3 linked regions of the Caenorhabditis elegans genome follow. The protein of the gene in region 3 purifies or fractionates together with the protein of the main gene of each other region. This does not show direct contact. Each region holds a gene or a part of one and is shown on either strand. Other genes may lie near its edges. The genes, in order: mab-10, F01F1.15 and nas-16.

The links.
Region 1: the proteins of nas-16 (region 3) and mab-10 fractionate together in Caenorhabditis elegans (co-fractionation; one large-scale study listed by BioGRID). This does not show direct contact.
Region 2: the proteins of nas-16 (region 3) and F01F1.15 fractionate together in Caenorhabditis elegans (co-fractionation; one large-scale study listed by BioGRID). This does not show direct contact.

Annotation. Positions count from the first base shown.
Region 1 is NC_003280.10:10,526,070-10,534,879, reverse strand, and holds mab-10 (NAB transcription cofactor mab-10), read right to left. Parts: upstream 6,797-8,810; 5' UTR 6,633-6,796; intron 5,508-6,632; exon of another isoform or gene 5,082-5,507; intron 4,544-5,081; 5' UTR 4,459-4,543; coding exon 4,377-4,458; intron 4,331-4,376; coding exon 4,186-4,330; intron 4,125-4,185; coding exon 4,018-4,124; intron 3,968-4,017; coding exon 3,572-3,967; intron 3,211-3,571; coding exon 2,785-3,210; intron 2,379-2,784; coding exon 2,243-2,378; intron 2,195-2,242; coding exon 1,807-2,194; intron 1,443-1,806; coding exon 1,374-1,442; 3' UTR 500-1,373; downstream 1-499. Other genes in the region: R166.2 (Cleft lip and palate transmembrane protein 1 homolog), read left to right, coding at 147-341. UniProt on the Caenorhabditis elegans protein: Transcriptional cofactor. Heterochronic protein, involved in timing of a subset of differentiation events during the larval-to-adult transition.
Region 2 is NC_003281.10:5,867,440-5,871,673, reverse strand, and holds F01F1.15 (DUF3456 domain-containing protein), read left to right. Parts: upstream 1-2,144; 5' UTR 2,145-2,145; coding exon 2,146-2,227; intron 2,228-2,274; coding exon 2,275-2,474; intron 2,475-2,518; coding exon 2,519-2,617; intron 2,618-2,748; coding exon 2,749-2,949; 3' UTR 2,950-3,084; downstream 3,085-4,234. Other genes in the region: F01F1.11 (PAP-associated domain-containing protein), read left to right, coding at 1-83, 131-366, 418-582, 631-838, 1,131-1,314, 1,358-1,528, 1,859-1,910; eng-1 (mannosyl-glycoprotein endo-beta-N-acetylglucosaminidase), read left to right, coding at 3,175-3,272, 3,567-3,772, 3,860-4,178, 4,221-4,234.
Region 3 is NC_003283.11:11,389,835-11,394,549, reverse strand, and holds nas-16 (Zinc metalloproteinase nas-16), read right to left. Parts: upstream 2,231-4,715; coding exon 2,066-2,230; intron 1,995-2,065; coding exon 1,578-1,994; intron 1,522-1,577; coding exon 1,280-1,521; intron 1,232-1,279; coding exon 1,042-1,231; downstream 1-1,041. Other genes in the region: K03B8.14 (uncharacterized protein), read right to left, coding at 3,660-3,758, 3,802-3,894; K03B8.11 (uncharacterized protein), read left to right, coding at 4,056-4,277; col-155 (Putative cuticle collagen 155), read left to right, coding at 4,694-4,715. UniProt on the Caenorhabditis elegans protein: Metalloprotease.

The sequences.
Region 1 (8,810 bases), on a different chromosome or scaffold from region 3:
CGTTTGAATTCACGGATTTGCTGCCAAATTACCAACTAATCTATTGCTGTGGAGCGCGCGTGCACATCGATTTCAAAAATCTCATTTTTCTGCGTCCCCATAATACCAAAATAACTTTAATTAAAAAATAATATTAAAATTTCCAGATCTACCTCTACCAACGCTGGGCGTATCGCATTGATCCAACTCGACTGAACGAGTTCGGCACAAGCCTCGAGAAGGAAACTGGAGCACCGGCGCCGACGCCGGCCGTAGAAGGATCTTCTGAACCTTCCCAGGAGCCCGAGCATGAATCAGAACCAAATTCAGAGCATGCAAAAGAAGATAAAAAGACAAAGTAGAATTTACTTGATTTTTTTAATATATTAAAGCAAAACTATTGTTACGGGAATCATGTCTTCCGATTTACTTGTCGTCCATCTCCCCATCTACTTTTTGTTTCCAGTCGTTAGTGAGATTTAAATCCCCTGAACTTCTCAATTATATATTTCCTGTTCTCTTTGAATTCTTTAATTTATTTGTTATAAACTTTTCTTTATTAGAAAAAATAGTTACAATTCAAGTGCATAAGAACCATGTAAACATTTTTGGGGAGAAAGTGGTGATGGGTGGAGGAGACTAGTAGAGTTGTAAAAATCTGTGAATAAAATGGACTGAAAGTGTGGCAAACATTTAGGCAATTTTTAGAAAATCTTTTTTTTACTATTCAAAGAAAAAATGACGGGATTATTCAAATTTTTGGAGCAAATTAGGCCATTTCGAATGACCGGAAAATTTGAAAATTTGATCTATTCAGAAAAATCTTTGAATTTTTTGAATTTTCACTGCATTAAATGCAAAATTTTTGTGAAAATCCTATGGGCTTTTCGCTTCGAGACCCAAAAATTTATAAAAGCAATCAACTTGCAATGCATTGGATGCGAAATTGAAGTTTTTCAGTTTTGAATTCAAATTTCTTTCTCAATAGAGCAAGACAAACATATTAAATATTTTTAAAAAATTGGAAAATGGAAAAAAAAATTATATTTAAATTATCTAATTGGGGGCGGGGCCGTGGGCGTTGGTTTTGGAACCGAACTGTGTTTAGACTCCCATTATATGAGAGCTTGGCATTGGTTTTTGAAAAACCGCCGGAAAAATGGGGGGTTTTTTGAAAACTAGACAAAAAAGTGATAGGAAGAGAAGGAAATTATATGACTCCGAGCGAAGGGGGCGGGAATTTAAATTTAAATTCAAATTCCCGCCTTGTGGGGTACAATAGAGCGTGTTTAGAATGAGAGAATTTTCGAAAACTAATGAGAATCACAGGAAACCGACCAGCGGGAGGTGTTGCAAAGATCACGAGGAAAACAAAAAATATGGAAATCCGAGCTTCAAGATTCCGGGAGCTCACCCTTCATTTTTTCGATTATCGCCGCCCATGCTTCCGGTGGAATTGGTGGCTGAAAAAAATCGATAATCAAAAAATGTTATTGTTCAAATGCAAAGTTTTATGGTTTTTGGTCTCGACATGACTGAAATAATTTGAAGAAAAAAGGGTATGCGTCTTTAAAATTACAGTAACCGTGTTGTATTGCTACTTTTTCACATTTTTTCTCTTTTACTACATTTTGCATATCGTTCACAAAAATGAAAAAACGGGAAAAAATCGAAGAAAATTGAAAAGCTGCAAGGTGGGAAGACTACTGTACGTACTCTTTAAAGGCGCACAGCATTTTTGATTTAAATTTTTTCATTTTTAATTCGTGTCGAGACCAGGTACGGTATTTTTGCATTAAAAGTAACGAACAATTTAAATGTGCCTACCCTTTCTTCCTCCTTAAAAGCACCTGAAGAACTGGACGGTTGTTCATCGAATTCCGATTCTTGAGGGGGCGGAGAGTTGCCCGGCGAGCTTATCGGACTATGCAAATCAGCTGGATCACATGGTCGTTTTCTACTTTTTGCATAGTTATATCCAGCATCTTTGACAATTTGTCGAGCCAACGGAAACAGCTCATCCCGTCGTGTCAAAAGAGACGGAACGAGAAGACATAGCTGAGCAGCTGCTTCATTTACAGTTGTCTCATGAAGTGTCAAAACTTTATGGGGCTTCCGTTTAGTGTCAAAACGTCCGTAAATTGCAGAATACTTGCGAAACGCGTGGATCATTGATGGAGTTGCTGGAGAGCATTTGAGGAGTTCTATGACTTCTCTGAAATTTCAAAAAATTATAAAATAGTCTGAATCCATTCTGACTCACTTTGAAACTCGTTTCTTATTCTGCACCAACCTCGGCGGAAGTGGCGGGAGATTCTTGGAAGCCGCCAGAGCACACTCAGCGAGACGGGATATTTGAGCAGTTGATAGAGTCGGATTTTCAGTTAGTGATGGATTATCTGGAAAATTAATTTTAACATTGAAGTTTTTCTTTTATAAAAGCTTTCACAGCAGTGTTTCTTTTCAGGTAAACTATGACATGGCACCTTTTCTATACTGTAAGATTACTGTAGGATTATTGTAGTTTCAGAAAAACTGAGTTATTTTTATGGAGACGGATATGGGCGAGGCAATCTTGTAAAACTGTAGGTTACTGTAGGAGTACTGTAGGACTATTGATTTTTTTTAGAAAACTGAGCTTTGGGTTTTTGAAAGATCGGTGAGTTGAGGTTAGTGAAAAGGTTACTGTAGTAGCATTTAATAGACTTTTCAAAAAAACAATTTTTTTTTGTCTTTTGACACTTTTTTTTACCAAGTCCTACTATGATTATTTTCGGCTAGAGCATAAACTTTAGAAAAACGAACTTGGATCAAAATCTCCCAATGAAACGAAATCATTGCCATATGGTTGTGAATAACCAACACCTAAAAAAGGAGAGGACGACCCCTCTTTTTCTTGGCCGGTGATGGACGATGATCGTCCAAATGAAGTGGATGGTTGTTGAATGGATGTGCTAGATGGAGGGACGACGAGGTGGCGTGTAACGCTTGCTGCACCACTAAAATTGAGGCCAATGCTGTTTCCGGAGAATACGTTGGCGGTGGCTCTCGATGATGGTGGCGGAACTGCGGCGGAGACATTGGTGGTGGTGGCGGGGAGGATTCCAGCAGGGAGCTCAGGGTGGGATGTGTTTGAGCTGGTTGAGGGGAGCACGCTTCGAACAGATGAGGTGGATGATGACTGTTGATCAGAGGCCAGAGACTCGAGTAGAGGAGTGGAGAACTTGAACGCTGAAATTTTGGGATTCGTTGAGTTGAGGGAATATTCAAAAATCGCTTAAAATCATGAATGGGACAGTATAAGCACAAGTATAACACAAACTGAGTATGCTAATCTACGCGCTGAATATAGTGCATTGATGAAGCCTTGGAGTCGGTGCTAACTTAATTTCGATCTTTGTAACACATGTTGGTAATTGAAGCGGTACAATTAGTTCAATTTAGAAAAAAACAAAAAAAAACTCAAAAATGTGAACCATTATTTTACTATTTCATAACAAATATCTCAAAAACTTAAAATAAAGAACTAAAAACAAAAATTGTGCATTATGGACATGCGTGTGCTACCAAACGCCCAGCGACAAAGACTAACCCAACGGTACCGAATTCGACGATGTCGTGTTCAGATTCAGTGACGGAGACGATGATGACGTGTCTGCTGCTTCGGATGGTGTCGAAACTTTTTCAGCAACTGACGACAGCTGACTCAAAAATCGGAGACTCGGGAATTTCGGCGACGTGGCAGCGGCGATTCCGGGTAGCAGAAGAGCCATCGGATCAGTACCCGCAGGTGTGTAGTTCAGTGGTGGTGGTGGACCGATTTGTTGAAGAGCTGCCAGGTTGAATGCAGTCTGATCCTGACTATACTCAGCAAGTGCTCTCTGCATCCGCCGGACATGAAGAGGCTTCGGAAGCATTCCCACAAGATTCATAATTTCCAGAAATTCTCTCTCCTCGCATGCCATGATCTGATTGATATCGTCGCCACCTGAAACAAATTTACCTTATAATAGAAAATTCACAAAGAAGAATCCTTACCTTGTGCTATGAAAACATCATAGTACTGAACTAAATTCGCTTTGCTCAGTACAGCCAACAATTGCCACTCGGATAGAGTCGTTGGTGTCGGCATCGGTTTGGGAGAACTAAAAAATTTCATAAATACTTTCCCTTATCACCAGAAATCGATAAAAATGATTGACTTACACAGGGCGATCTGCATTGCTGGTTGATTGACGTTGTGATGATGATGATGAAGAGGTGGGTATTGATGAAGTGGATTGAGTTGTAAGAGATGATAAAATTGATGGAGAAGATGAAGACGAGCTAAGTATGGACTCCAAGTGATGTGCTAGAATTTTACTAATTTTTCTGATGTCCTGATCGTCGGGACTTACATGCTGATGGTCTTGATGTGATCGACGAAGTCGTTGTTGACGCAGATGATGTGGGTAACGACGACGACGACGATGATGACATGATGCCTTCTGAAGGCACACAAGTTGAGGTACGCTCCCAATCCAGATCGACGGAAGGGCAGCGGCTATCGAATAGCCTCAGTATCCTGAAAATGAGTTGTTGAATATGAGATTCTGGAGTCTACTACAGAACTAGTACTTTTTGTCTCAAAGCAAAGGAGATTCAGGAGAAACTTTTCGGCAACAACTCGGTAAAATATAAAAAAAAGCTGTTGATAGGCAGTTGCTAGGTAATTTTTTTAACATCAAAATGTCGTTGGAAAGTTGCAAAAGTTCGACAGGAAGTTGTAAACTGTCAAAGTTTTACAGGACGCTGCCTCCAAAACCTCCGAGCCAAGTTGGTATATATTATTTTTATAATCAACTACAGAAAACACACTGATTGTATGCTTAAAGAGAAAATATCAAACAATTATTAGAAGGTACGTGTAAACTACTAGAAATTAAATATTGTAAGCTGATTTATATTTTTCCCAGAATGAAAATTAATTGAAAAATGCTGAACTACTGTATTAACTGCTTTACAACACTGTAGGTTCCCTATCGAAGTCATAAAAAAGGTTTGCAAAAAAGGTTAGAATAGAGTGAAGAAGAGAAGAAAATGGGAACATATCGACACAGAAAAGAGAGTGGTATGGCCCCCGATCCCTGTTCAAAAAACCCCAGCGTCCGCCTATCTACATCCCTGACGAAATAGTGTCTTAAACTAAGAGTGCACCCATACATCTAACTATAGGTCAAAAAAACTCGGCGGCGCGCCCGGACGCAAACGACGACACAAGAAACATAGAAAAACCGGCAAACCATTGGGCGAGAAAAAGCGTTTAAAACATAGAGACACAGAGACAATCCTACAAAAAACGTCTCTCGCCACTGGGCTTCTTCGGTCGTTCGGACGCGGGACGGACCGGGAGGTGAGAATGGAGAAATAGGAGGGAGGGAATAGTACGGGAATCGGGGGAGATTTAGAGAGAAAAAGAACCGATGAAAAAACCAAAGAGGCGTCGTTCGATTATTATTTGAAATGTTCGGTTTACTATGCGAACGATTGAGGTGACTGTGTGTGTGTATACACAGGATGGGCTTGGGAGGAACGGGACAAAAAAGTGACCTTTGTTGACAAGTGGATGTCTGGGGATACGAAAGTTCAAAATTTACAGTAATCGGGGTCAGACTTCAGAGAGATTTTGGTAGCTTATCTCCTATATCTATTAACTTCTGACTAACAGAAATACTTTCAAGTTTTGGTGTTTCTTACCGATATGATAAAATATTTAGGCGGATAGTTTTCTTCCTGTTTGGACAAATAGATGTCTAGAAGCTATAAGAGCATACTAATCAAAACTCAAGCTCCTCCTCCTTCTTCCAATTCAGCTGTTCTCATCCAACAGTACCACCATCTGTTTGACCTCTTCTTCACCTCGTTCCATCGCTTTTTCCAACTGAAAAACCGCTCCGAAAACGTCCTTTTCGAGGCTGGCGCGCGCACGCTCATTCTTCTAGCAAAAAAAGCCCCCATGAAATTGTCTGCACATGTCCATGAATTGATGAAAATAGTGTAGACATGGGAGGAGATGCGCGCAGTATGAGGTGAACAGAAAAAAAATTGGGAAGCGATGAAGGGAGAGAAGGTCGACGACGAACAGGCGGATGGGACACAACGGGGAATAGGTGGGAGGTTCGAGAAAAAAATGGGAGAAATGGAGAAAATAGACATAAAGTGAAGAGTGACATTCATAACTAATAATCTAGAAGTTACAGTATCTCCCAACGGACGAAACTAGTGATCTCCGGCAATTCTGGAAACTGTCCGAGCTCGGTCGATTCGGCAAGTACTACATCAGGGGTGTGCGTCAAATTCGCCGAGTTTGTCGTTTGCCGAATTTGCCGAGCCGACAAATTTTAAAAATGTGGATTAGCTGATTTTGCCAAATTTGCCGTGCTCGGCAAATACTAAAAAAGTCCATTGTCAAATTTGCCACACTCCTGACACGGAGGCCTTATAGTTAGTTTCTGAACTCTAGACCTCCTAGTCAAACAAATCAAAACTAAGGCTTTGGTGGAAGGCAGGCGCGTTTTCAGATCCTGGTGCATGCCTGAGACCTGCCTGCCTTCCGTTCTTTTCTCATTTCAGTCAATTTGATAGTTAAAAAAAGAAAAAACTAAAAACCTTACCTGATACAGTTCTAACTCCGCAGACGACGAAAACGGGATGACGTGGTTCTCTACCGACGAAACCATTCAGCCCGTGTCTCCGAATATCATTCGCGTCTGGCGCCGCACAAGGTCCGGGCACGACCGGGTCAGGAGGCTGTGGAACAGTGAGGCCGGGGTCTATAATAAAAAAGTGGTTGGATAGAGGTGGAGGTGATAACTGATAATATGCAACGCTAGAAAAAAAGGAAAAAAATTAAGAGAACATAGGTCAACTGGAGGGGGGAACACGCGTGCGTTGAAAAAAAAGCAAAGGCATTGAGAAATCGAGAGGAACAGAGGAACAGACAGAGCCAGAATAGTGCAGCCACACTCTATATTCTCTCTGCAATCTCTCATCTTCTCCATACTATTTCTCATTCAGTGATATCAGCAGTGGCGCGGCGTCTTCTCAGCGGCGGTGGTACCGGTCGCGGACACCCAGGGCAGAATTGCCCGGGGGGGCGCAAGTGACCCCCACAGACCACGGGGGGACGCATGAGGGAAAAAATGGCTGGCACTGCCTGGGGGCGACGGCAGTGTTGCTGCACAAAAAGTGCGTCTACACTCTCTTCGCTTTACTTGCTCTTTCTGCACTTTTTCTGCTGCCCTCGGCCGCGTCCATTTTTTGTGTGTTACTGGCAGCGGTACCAGTCCGGTGCCGACCCAAGGAGCCCAAAGGTCTCTGGAAGAGCAATTGATATGATCAGAAGCAGTGGAAGGCATGAAGAGCAGTTGAAGAAGGGGGATTCAAGTTGGTGTTTGGGATAGTGAGACTTTTTTTAAACCGCTGAATCACTGGAGAAGTACTACATGAGTACTGTAGACTGTATATGTGATGTTGTATATGTTATTGATATGAGTACTGTTGAGTACAGTAAGGCCGCAAAATTATTTTGAAACTCATCTTATTCGATTTTTTTTTCAGAATTCACCAAAACAAATGTGTGGTGGAATTCAATAATGTTCGTAACTTCAAAAGAGGATTTTATCAAAAGTTGCCAAATATATTTTGTTAAAAGCGTTTTTTCGGCGAAAAGGTTGCTGAAATACTTGTATTCTAAAAATCATTAGTATAATTTGAACATGTTTTCAAACAAAAGTATAATTCGTTACAGTAATGCCAAGATTGAATCCTGGAAAACACCTTCTTTCATAAAAATGAAAATTTTGAAAAATGGTTTTTACTGATTCGTAGAACAAAATTGTAAGCAGATGGCGTGGTTCTTGAAACTTCTGGATTAATCCATCTGAAAAAATTCCGACTGATGATTTTGATAATGTGTTGTTTGATCAAAAAACGAAATGGAACTGATGCTTTAGGATTTTTCTAATTTCATCTCACTGCAAAATATACAGAATCTATTGTATTTGGAGTAGTAAACAATTTGATTGTTATAGTTTTTACAAAAAAATATTTTGAAAATTCTGGAAAGTTGGTAACTAAGAGTTTCTTCACAGTTTTATCTTCAGAAACTTTGAGGGCTCATCGTGAGATTGGTTCTGGAAACTCGTATTTAGAAGTTCATAAACTTGTGGGATGTTGATATGTTTGCATGGCAGAATGCAAGAGGATTTGGTGGAATTGAGGTATGTATCAACACGTTTTTTAAAATAAAATCAAAACATTTTCAGACAAAATGTTAGTTTTCAGACAGCATAACTTCCATGTTATGTACCTACCTTCTTCTGACGTATCAAATTCTACTATTCAATTGTACGGAGAACCCTCAACGTTGCCTTACAGTTAGTGGGGTGCTTCATTACCCATATACACTTGAAAGTGCTCTAGTTTTTTATGAAACTTCTGAAAATCAATAATATGGTTATGGTGATTATTTGGCAAAGCGCACGTGGACAGAAGATAGGATTGCTTATCCGTGGTTTGGTCTGCCAAGAAATTCTTCAATGTCAGTTATCAAGCTCAAGTTCCCTGCTCTCCGAGTGGTCATGAATGGTACGGCTGTTTTTGGCGATTCTGCTGCCATGAAACTCTAAAAAAAACTTATATTTAGTCTTGCTCGTTTACTGAAATGCGTCCGAACTTAACAGGAAAAAGAAAGATATAGCTTTTTTTATTGATTATTATGTAATTCTATTTTTTCTGAATAAATTCGTGCATAACAATATTATTTGAATTTGAGCAAAAACTCAAAACTA
Region 2 (4,234 bases), on a different chromosome or scaffold from region 3:
AAAATATGATTCTTATAATGATGCAAAAGAAGATATTAAAGATTTTAAGACGACTCAAAGAATGAAAAAAATCCATCGAATGGGTAAAAAAATTATCAATAAAATATTAAAAGTTCAATTATTGTTTCAGAAAAAATTGAGCAAAACATTGCCTCAGAGAAAATCGATATAATCGAGCTTGGAACACGTGTGATGGTGTCGACATCGGATAAAACGCTCAATGAAGCTTCATTGGAGAGAACCATCCGTTGCGGAATATCTGAAGCCACATTTCTCGGAGATATTTCTATGGAATCGCTGGTAGAAGGTATGGTGAATCCATCGGCGGCTGATGGAAGGTTTGCAATGCTTGGAACGTCTATTATGGTCAGAATTCTGATAGCCCGGAATTCAAAATTCCATTTTTTGATTTTTCAGCTAAATGCGCTAAAGTCAAACATTAAAGACCTGAGAGGAACAATTGTAGGACAGACGACCAACACAAATTCAGAGTCAAAATTCGATAAAATCGATTTAAGTCTAATGAATCTCTCGCATTGCCAACAAACTTCTTACAATATTCGAGCAACAGGTGTATTCTCTGTGAGTTTTTTTTTGTTTCAGCTTCTATGAAAAAATGCCAAATTTTAGAATGCCGATCTTCAATATGTGTTCAGTTTGCTGACGTTCCGCAGAAACGCAAAACTTCTCAACAAAACCAAGCAGTTTATAAAAGCATATTTTTGTGTTGCGTGCCGTCCGAGATGCATGATCTGGAGATATACTTTAAGAAGAGCTGGAAATAGTCAAAGAAGAGCCATTCTTAACTTACCATCCGCCATTGTTTCAACTATTACTCGTAAGTTTTAAATAAAAAAAGAGAATCCATGGGCTTTTTCCAATATTTGGAAACAATTTTCGTTTTTTCAAAAAATAGTTTTAAATGTTGACCTTTTTTCCTTTTTAGATGGCAATTATATGTTTTTCCTTAATAATATTGATTGATAACAGTATAAGCCTAATTTGATTTAAACAAAACATTTTTTTGTTGTAAAATTGCTAAACTTTTTTTTTGATTTTCTCAGAAAAAAAATCCATAAAAAATTTCAATGATACCCTTGCCAATAATCAATTTTTATTGTTTTTTCCAGAGTTTCTGCTCGATTTGACAGGAATTAGCGATGCAAACATCCCATACGATCAGCTCGATCCAATGACACCACTATCAATTTCACTTGGAGAAGATGAATCAATGCGTGTTCAACGATATGAAGAAGCTTGTCGATTGAAGGATCCATTGACGAGATTCTTTCGAGATGCAATTACAGATTGCTTGTAAGTGCCTGAATCCTTGAAAATACATTGAATTAAATTTCAGAAATGAGCTCCGAGAGATGCCGTTTTGCCTGAACACGGGCATTCTGTTGAGCCCGTTGCGTGGTCGAGAACAAGGAACTTCTTGTGTTACATGGAAAGATTATGAAGGATTTTTGAAAAGAGAACACGATCTGCCTTCCGAAGCGAATATGAAGAAGCGAACGCAGTTTGAGTAAGTTTAAAAAATAATTTCGATTTTAAAATCCTTAAAATTTGCATTCAGTTATAAGTGTAATTTTTTTTTGGAAAAAGCGTAAAATTTGAAAATCAATTATATTTTCAGTTACCGACAGGATAACAGAATTTTTCTCTATTTTCGCTCCCTTTTTTTCGAAAAATACCAAAAATAAAATTTCATTGCTGCTCGCTGTTGCGGAGCGTTCTTTAGTTTTTCACTACAGTACTACTTTTGAAAAAATTGTACGTGACGAGGCCGGGTAACATATCTTTGAGACGAGATTTCAGAGTTCATATCTGAATAGTATTAAAATTAAATTTCCAGACAACGGCTCTGCGACATTATTCCACGTGTACGTCGACCGGTTCCCAATTGAAAAAATGTTTAACTTATCAATTTTCGATCTCTTGAATACGTTGTTTCCAATCAACTTTAATGAATAATATTCATGTTTTATTCGTGAAGAAAAGTACCATTTACACAAACACTGGATACCTATCCAAACACCGTTCTTTTTCTTTTCTTTCTGCCACTCTCCCAATCATTGTTTGCTCTCTCTCTCTCTCCGCTTCACTTGGTCATTATCGACGCTTTTTAACCATTTATTCAGAATGCATTTTGTTTCTACACTGGTTTGTCTCATATCACTGTCGGGTATTCAATCTGCATCGGTTTCTTCATTAGAGTGTGGAGGTTGATAGATTTTTCTAAAATATATTTTTAAATATTGAAAATTTCAGCCTGCTCCCTCCTCGTAACCCATTTCGAGCTGAAAATCGCCGCAGTCGACCCGAAAAAGAAAATCGAAGTTGGAAGTTTCCGAGTTTCACCAACTGGAGATCAAAAAGGGCTCAAGGAAATCGGCTATGCTCGTTCAGAATCTCATTTGACAGAAATCATTGAGCACGCTTGTGATGATGCGAAACACTATAAACTTGTGGTAAGAACCATAAATTGTATAGATTTTTACAAATTTCTCTTCAGGTGAATACAATTACTGGAAAATCAGTCTACGTTCACAACGACGCCACACATTTGAAAGGAGATGAGTCTCCCAAAATGAGATATAATCTTCAAAACGCTGTAAGTTCAAGCACGGGATTCCAAACTCTAGTTATTATTAGAAAACAATCCCTAATGAGAATTAAGAACTTTTTCAGTTTTTTGCAGAAAACTTCAGTCTTGATTTTTTAATTTAAATTTCTAAATTTTAGTGCAACGACTTCATTGACTCTCACGAAGATGAGCTTCTTGGTTTCCTGAAGACCGCCCATCAGGATCCCGTCAAACAGTTCTGCCAAGGAGAAATGGGTGCTTGCACTGCTGTCGATGTGGCACCTCTACCTGCTGCTCCAGAAGAACCAATGGATCTTTCTGATATTCCAGATGATGAAATTGACAGAAAAGAACTTTAAATTAAATTTTCCTTTTTTAAATTAGTAATTTATGAATTTCAACTCGTTTGCGGGATCTGGAAATTGTGCTATATCGTTATCTGTTTGAATTTTAATTTATATGTGATTTGTTTTGTGATATAAACTTCAAGTTTTTCCTTTCGTGAAATGCTAAGGGTAAAGTTGAAATCAATTGAAATATCGCAGAGCCTCTTGATCTTGACTTACAATTCTATTTATAATTAGATGACGATTTCTCCAATTGACACACTCGAAGAGCTCTGGAGTTGGAAATCACGAGAAGATGTTGGCGAGCAATACAGTGAGCAACTGGTTAACTTTAAGTAATTTTTATGAAATTTCAGAAAGAAAATTAATTTTCTACCTGGCAATAAGAATAGTGTTAAATATTTTTAGCCCGAATGCGAAAAAAATGGTTTTGGCGCGAGCCAATTTTTTCAGCTACAGTACCCAGTAGTATGGTAGACTTACATAATATTTGGTTTTTACTTAGTTTTAAACTTTTTTTGATAACTTTATTGATAAACAATAGTCACAGTCACAGTCACAGGACAAAAGCTTCGATCGTGCTGAGACCTAAAATCATGGATTTTCCCTACTATATGGCAAAATTTCAGACCACATTCGGGTCGTCAAATCCTCGTATGCCACGATATGCGTGGTGGATATTTGGAAGAGGAGTCTACGGAAGGAAAGAAATTCGAAAAAGACCGGTACCCGTACATGTTCTTGAATTGGTGGCAAATCGACATTTTCAACTACTTTTCACATCATTTTGTGACGATTCCACCGGAAGATTATACACGAATTGCTCATAAACATGGTATAAAATATTAAATCTAAAAATCGAAATAACACAAAACATGCCCGTCCATTTCTTGGTTTTTAAGTCAAAGTATCCCAATTTCAGGTGTTCTTTCACTTGGAACATTCATCACGGAATGGATTCCAGGATACGATATTTGTTCGAAAATCTTGGAAAATGAGGGTTCGGTAGAAAAAACAGTGGACTGTCTGGTGGCTGTTGCGAGATTTTTTGGATTTGATGGATGGTTGATTAATATTGAAAATAAAATTGATGCAGGAAAAATCGATTTGTTGATTCAATTTTGTTCGAGTTTAACTGAAAAGTCAAAGAAAATGAATGAAAATTCGAAAGTGATATGGTATGATTCGGTACTTGATAATGGAAAGTTGCATTGGCAAAATGAATTGAATGAGATGAATCGGTTAGAATATTAGAACTGTACTGAAATATTAATATTTTTAAGAAAATTCTACGATG
Region 3 (4,715 bases):
AAATAGATTAATTTGAGCTTTTCAGAGAGGATGATGATCAGCAACACCAGTCTCCCGCCGTCTAGGGATCAATTGGCCTGCAGCCAAGCTGTCTTCAATCTGTTAATTTATTTTTTAATTGTTTTTCCATTGTTCGTTGTTGTAATAAATGCAATTCTTATTAATCTAAGATTTCAATTTCAATATGAAAATCGGCGGGAGCGAGAATAAAATCGAACCGGGCGCGTAGTGTGTGCGAAAGAAATGCGCTCGGCGCGCGAAAATTGTGCGACTAGATCGCGAGACAGTAGCCTAGTCGCGCCCCGTCCGCGCGCCAGTCGCACCCTCGTCGCGCGCCAAGCGAGCCAAACTACCGAGTAGTCCATTTTTGAGAAAATGATTCAGTTGCGATTTGTCTTTTCTGCCGGTTTTTCGTTTGTAAAATTAAGTCGTATTGCCTTTTGGTTAGCATAACATCTCCATCAAACATTATATTTTTTGTCAAGCTTGGTATAAATTTATACAAATCTTCTGGAATCACTGATCCGGATGCCAGAACAACACATAAAATAACAGACACTGGCAAAGCATTTTCATGAAAATATTATTTCAAAAATTTGACGATATTTATATAGTTCAAAAAAATGAATTTCAACAAGATTCTCATGATTATGCAAGAAGAAAATGATTTTCAAACAAAAACTTTACATATAAAATATGGATCAAGGAAGTGTTGAGAAGTTTTTCAAATTAATTCAAGTTCATGGAGAAAATCTATCAAAGGGACCTTGAATTTGTGAAAGATTGTTAATTCCATAAAACTAGTAGGTACTACAAAAAACTGGACACAAGCGTGCAAATCGATAGAAATTCACACGTTATTAAAATCTGTTGCCAAAAATTTGAACATTTCGTCGAGTGTGATCAGTGTGAAAGTCTGGTTTGATTCATTGATTGTTGTTGTATGTGAAGGTATTGCAAGAAAAAATGTTTTCCAGTTTAATAATGACACACGTATGGAAACTTTATTATTTTATTCAGAACAAATCACCAAACGAAAATTTAGGCATAATATTCATAGTTATCATATCCATTTGTGGTTTTATTGTAGCTACTCAAGCGTTCATTCACATATCTGTAATGGAAGGTCACTTTGTTTTTCCCGAGAAATGTATAAATATTAATCAAAAGTGGATTCAGCTTGGCTTTGTATCCCTTGTTGGATGGGTCCACTTGATTCTCACAGCAAATACTGTAATCAATTTTAATTGTTATTCGATGACTTGAAGAAAGTACCCACATTGGATTAGTGATTCTTGGATCCCCCATGTATTTAATCTCCACTCCATTATTATTGCAACCAGAGTCACACGAGAAATTTTCTATTTTCACAATTTTAACTTCAATAATTTTATCTTTCGGAGCATTTATTGAGATAAACGCTTTAACGGGGTCTGTAGTATCTCTCAAAACACTACTTCCAACAGAAATCCAGGATCCTTTCCAATACGAATCTGCACTTAACTGGACACTACAAGCAACCTGAAAAATACAGTTTTAAAAATACCGATAGAAACTAATTCAGATAATAAACTAACTACTCGATCACATAACACTCCTCCATATCCCAATGGACAAATACATTCCAAACAATTGGACGGATTTGTATATCCTCCATTTGCACACAATAATTCACTTGGACATTTGCAGTTGTATGCAGTGTTTATAGTTAACATATCATAAAATGTAACTCTTCGATTTCCTAGTGTTCTATAATATTCCATTTGTTTCGGAAGAAGTGAATTTGTTCCCGATACATCGGCTGTATAGTGCAAAGTGCTTCCATACTCATATGGTACAACGTTTATAGAAAAGGGAGGAGAAACAATCTCAAAATTGCTGTCGTCTTCATCATCTTTGTTCAGATTTACATTAAGAAAGTTATCTCGATCAAAACGAGCATGAGTGTGCAGAACACCCAATGCATGCATTAGTTCGTGAACGGCGGATCCAAACTAAAAATATTCGATTTAAAATAGTTATTTTCGTGTAAGATTTCCCCAAAACCTAGTATGCAAGAACTCACCCGCATGCACCAGTCAGGAAAATAAATTTCTTGTACACTGTTAATCATTCCAACATATGAAGCACAGAAAGTACTGTCAACAAATTTTATTCTCGTTGAAATAGTACAGTTTTCTTCGAAAGTAACGCAAGTTTGTGAAGATATGAAGTTCATAGCAAATTTCATTAATTTTCGTTTTACAGTATCTGAGTTTTTTTTTAATTTTAACTTTTTGAGTTGGAGCTTACTGAATGAATCGGCATTACAATAAAATACTTTAGCATTGGACCACTGTGGAGAAAATAATTTAGTCACTACTTGTCTTTTCTGACGGGTTCCTTTTCATAAGGTGTTTGAATTGTTCATTCGTTAGCAAAATATCACCTTCAATAATTATTTTTTTTGGAACGCTGGACATATGTTCATTAGCATCTTTTCCAATATCTGATCCATATATGAGAACAATTGAAAGTGTCAGATGAAAATAAAAATATTGATAAAACATTTTAGATTTTTCTAGATTTTCAGAACGATATTTTATACAGTTCAAGCTGAATTTAAACAAGTTTCCCATGATTATGCAGGAGGAAATATTCAGATAGTTCAAACCCAATGATCATGCAAAGAAAAAATAATTTTAAAAAAGTATTATATACCGTTTTCTTCATATGATTCTTGTTCCTCTACTTCTACACTGTAACAGCGCTTCTCGGTTTTTTTTAGTTTGATCCAGCTATGACTTGACTATACATAGAATTATTTGAAACGCACTTTTCATCTGAAATTGTTTTGATGAAACTAGAGACAGTCAAGACATTGACGATCAAATTGGAACAAAGGAGGTGCAAGAGTATTATAATATAAAAAATACGTAATCTCGAAACTGGTACAATTTGAAACATTTTCTCTAGAAAGTGTTCACTTGTCCACATCCAATTGTCCACAAAATAAACTTGTGTTTGGAATGACTTGGAAAAAAACATAAAATTGGGAGAAAATATTGTCTTGTGACGAGATTAAATATTTTCGGAAAATTTGTTTTGCGAAATTCATTTATTTTCTTTCGTTTAGCAGTTAAACAACTACATTTCAAATTCGTTTGGCCATCATCCAATAATAATAAGAATAATAATTTTATTCACTAACTTTGCAATATAGGTGTCAACCTTCAATTGAACATAATCATCTCCTTTGTACCGCCCATCTTGTGCACAAGGTATGCACACTGGCGGAACCCACCAGATGTCCGGTCACCATGAGAAAGGTGTTCGTTCAATTTTCTGCCATATTTAGCTTTGCGCTGGGGCGATAACGTGACCAATGAGGCTTTGCCGAGGTGCGTTTATTGCTGGTTGAAAACTTTTCCCAATTGCCCGCGATGTCCCCTGAAACATGGGTGGCATACGCAATTTTTGAACGCCTCCAGGAGGCAGAACAATTTCTCAAATTTTCTTCTGTTTTGTTGGTTACTTGTGGTTTGTTCAAGAAATTTCAAATGGACTGAAATGAGTTTACCTTCCTGATACATTTAGTTAACGACGATGAGCCGAAAACTTTTTGCATGTTCTAATACAATTATATGCCAAACTTTATTCAACAACAGAAAATAACGAACTCATTGTTCCTGCTTTACAAATTTCGGATCTCCCGTCACACCAGCATGTTGAATCTCCCCAGGCAAATCGAAGACGGCTTTTTTGGAAAAAGGTGCATTCTGGAATAATTTTGTTTGTACTTCTAAGTGAATATTCTAAAACCTTTCCGATTTGCTCGTCCAATGAGATAACACCAGTCGGGAAACTTGAAGTTACCACGAGAAGAAGAACAAATAAAGGGAAGAGAAGACGCATGATTGAGTCAGTTGATTTTATCAGCCAGATTGCAATTTTATACTACCAGCTTTTCTCACAATTAGCATTATTCAAAGTTTGACGTTTTTTAAATGCAAATCATGAGAAATTCGATGAAAATATAAGACTCTGTGTACAGTAACTCGATTCATACAATCGAAATGAAATTGGTTTCCCTCCTTCTTCTCTTCACAATCTTCTTGTCGGGATTGACTCTTCGCCTCGAAGAAGATCTTTCTGCAGTCTATATTGATCATGGAGAAATTATCGTTGAGGACAAGCCCGATCTTCCAGGAAGTGTTTTGTCTCCAGAAGGCAATCCTCCAACTCACGTCACCTACCAAGATGTCGGAGAAGCGACTACTAAACGAATTTATCACTGAACTGTTTTTGCCAACTGATAAATGATTTTATTATTTTGGTACAAAATATAAAGTTTGATAACGACTTCAAATATAATTTGAATTTGTGCCCAAAAGTCATTTGCATCACGATTGCTACATTTTTCGAATAATTCTCTGAAAAATATTGTATTTTTTCGAATTTGGATTTTGAAGATAATTGAAAAATTCGCGTGCAGACTCATATTTTCATTTTGATCCAAGTTTTTTTCCAACAAACTTATCAACATTTCACCCGGTCTTGTTTCCAGTTTCTATTCTTCTCACTTCCTCCTTTCTTTGCGTAATTGCATCTGCCAAGTGTAATTGCAATACCTCCGCCCATAGTACAACCTTGGAAATGTTTCCTATAAAAGTCGAATCGACAGACATTTTCTTCAGTTATCTTGAATTCAAACATGGAGTTCGAGCAAAGAATCA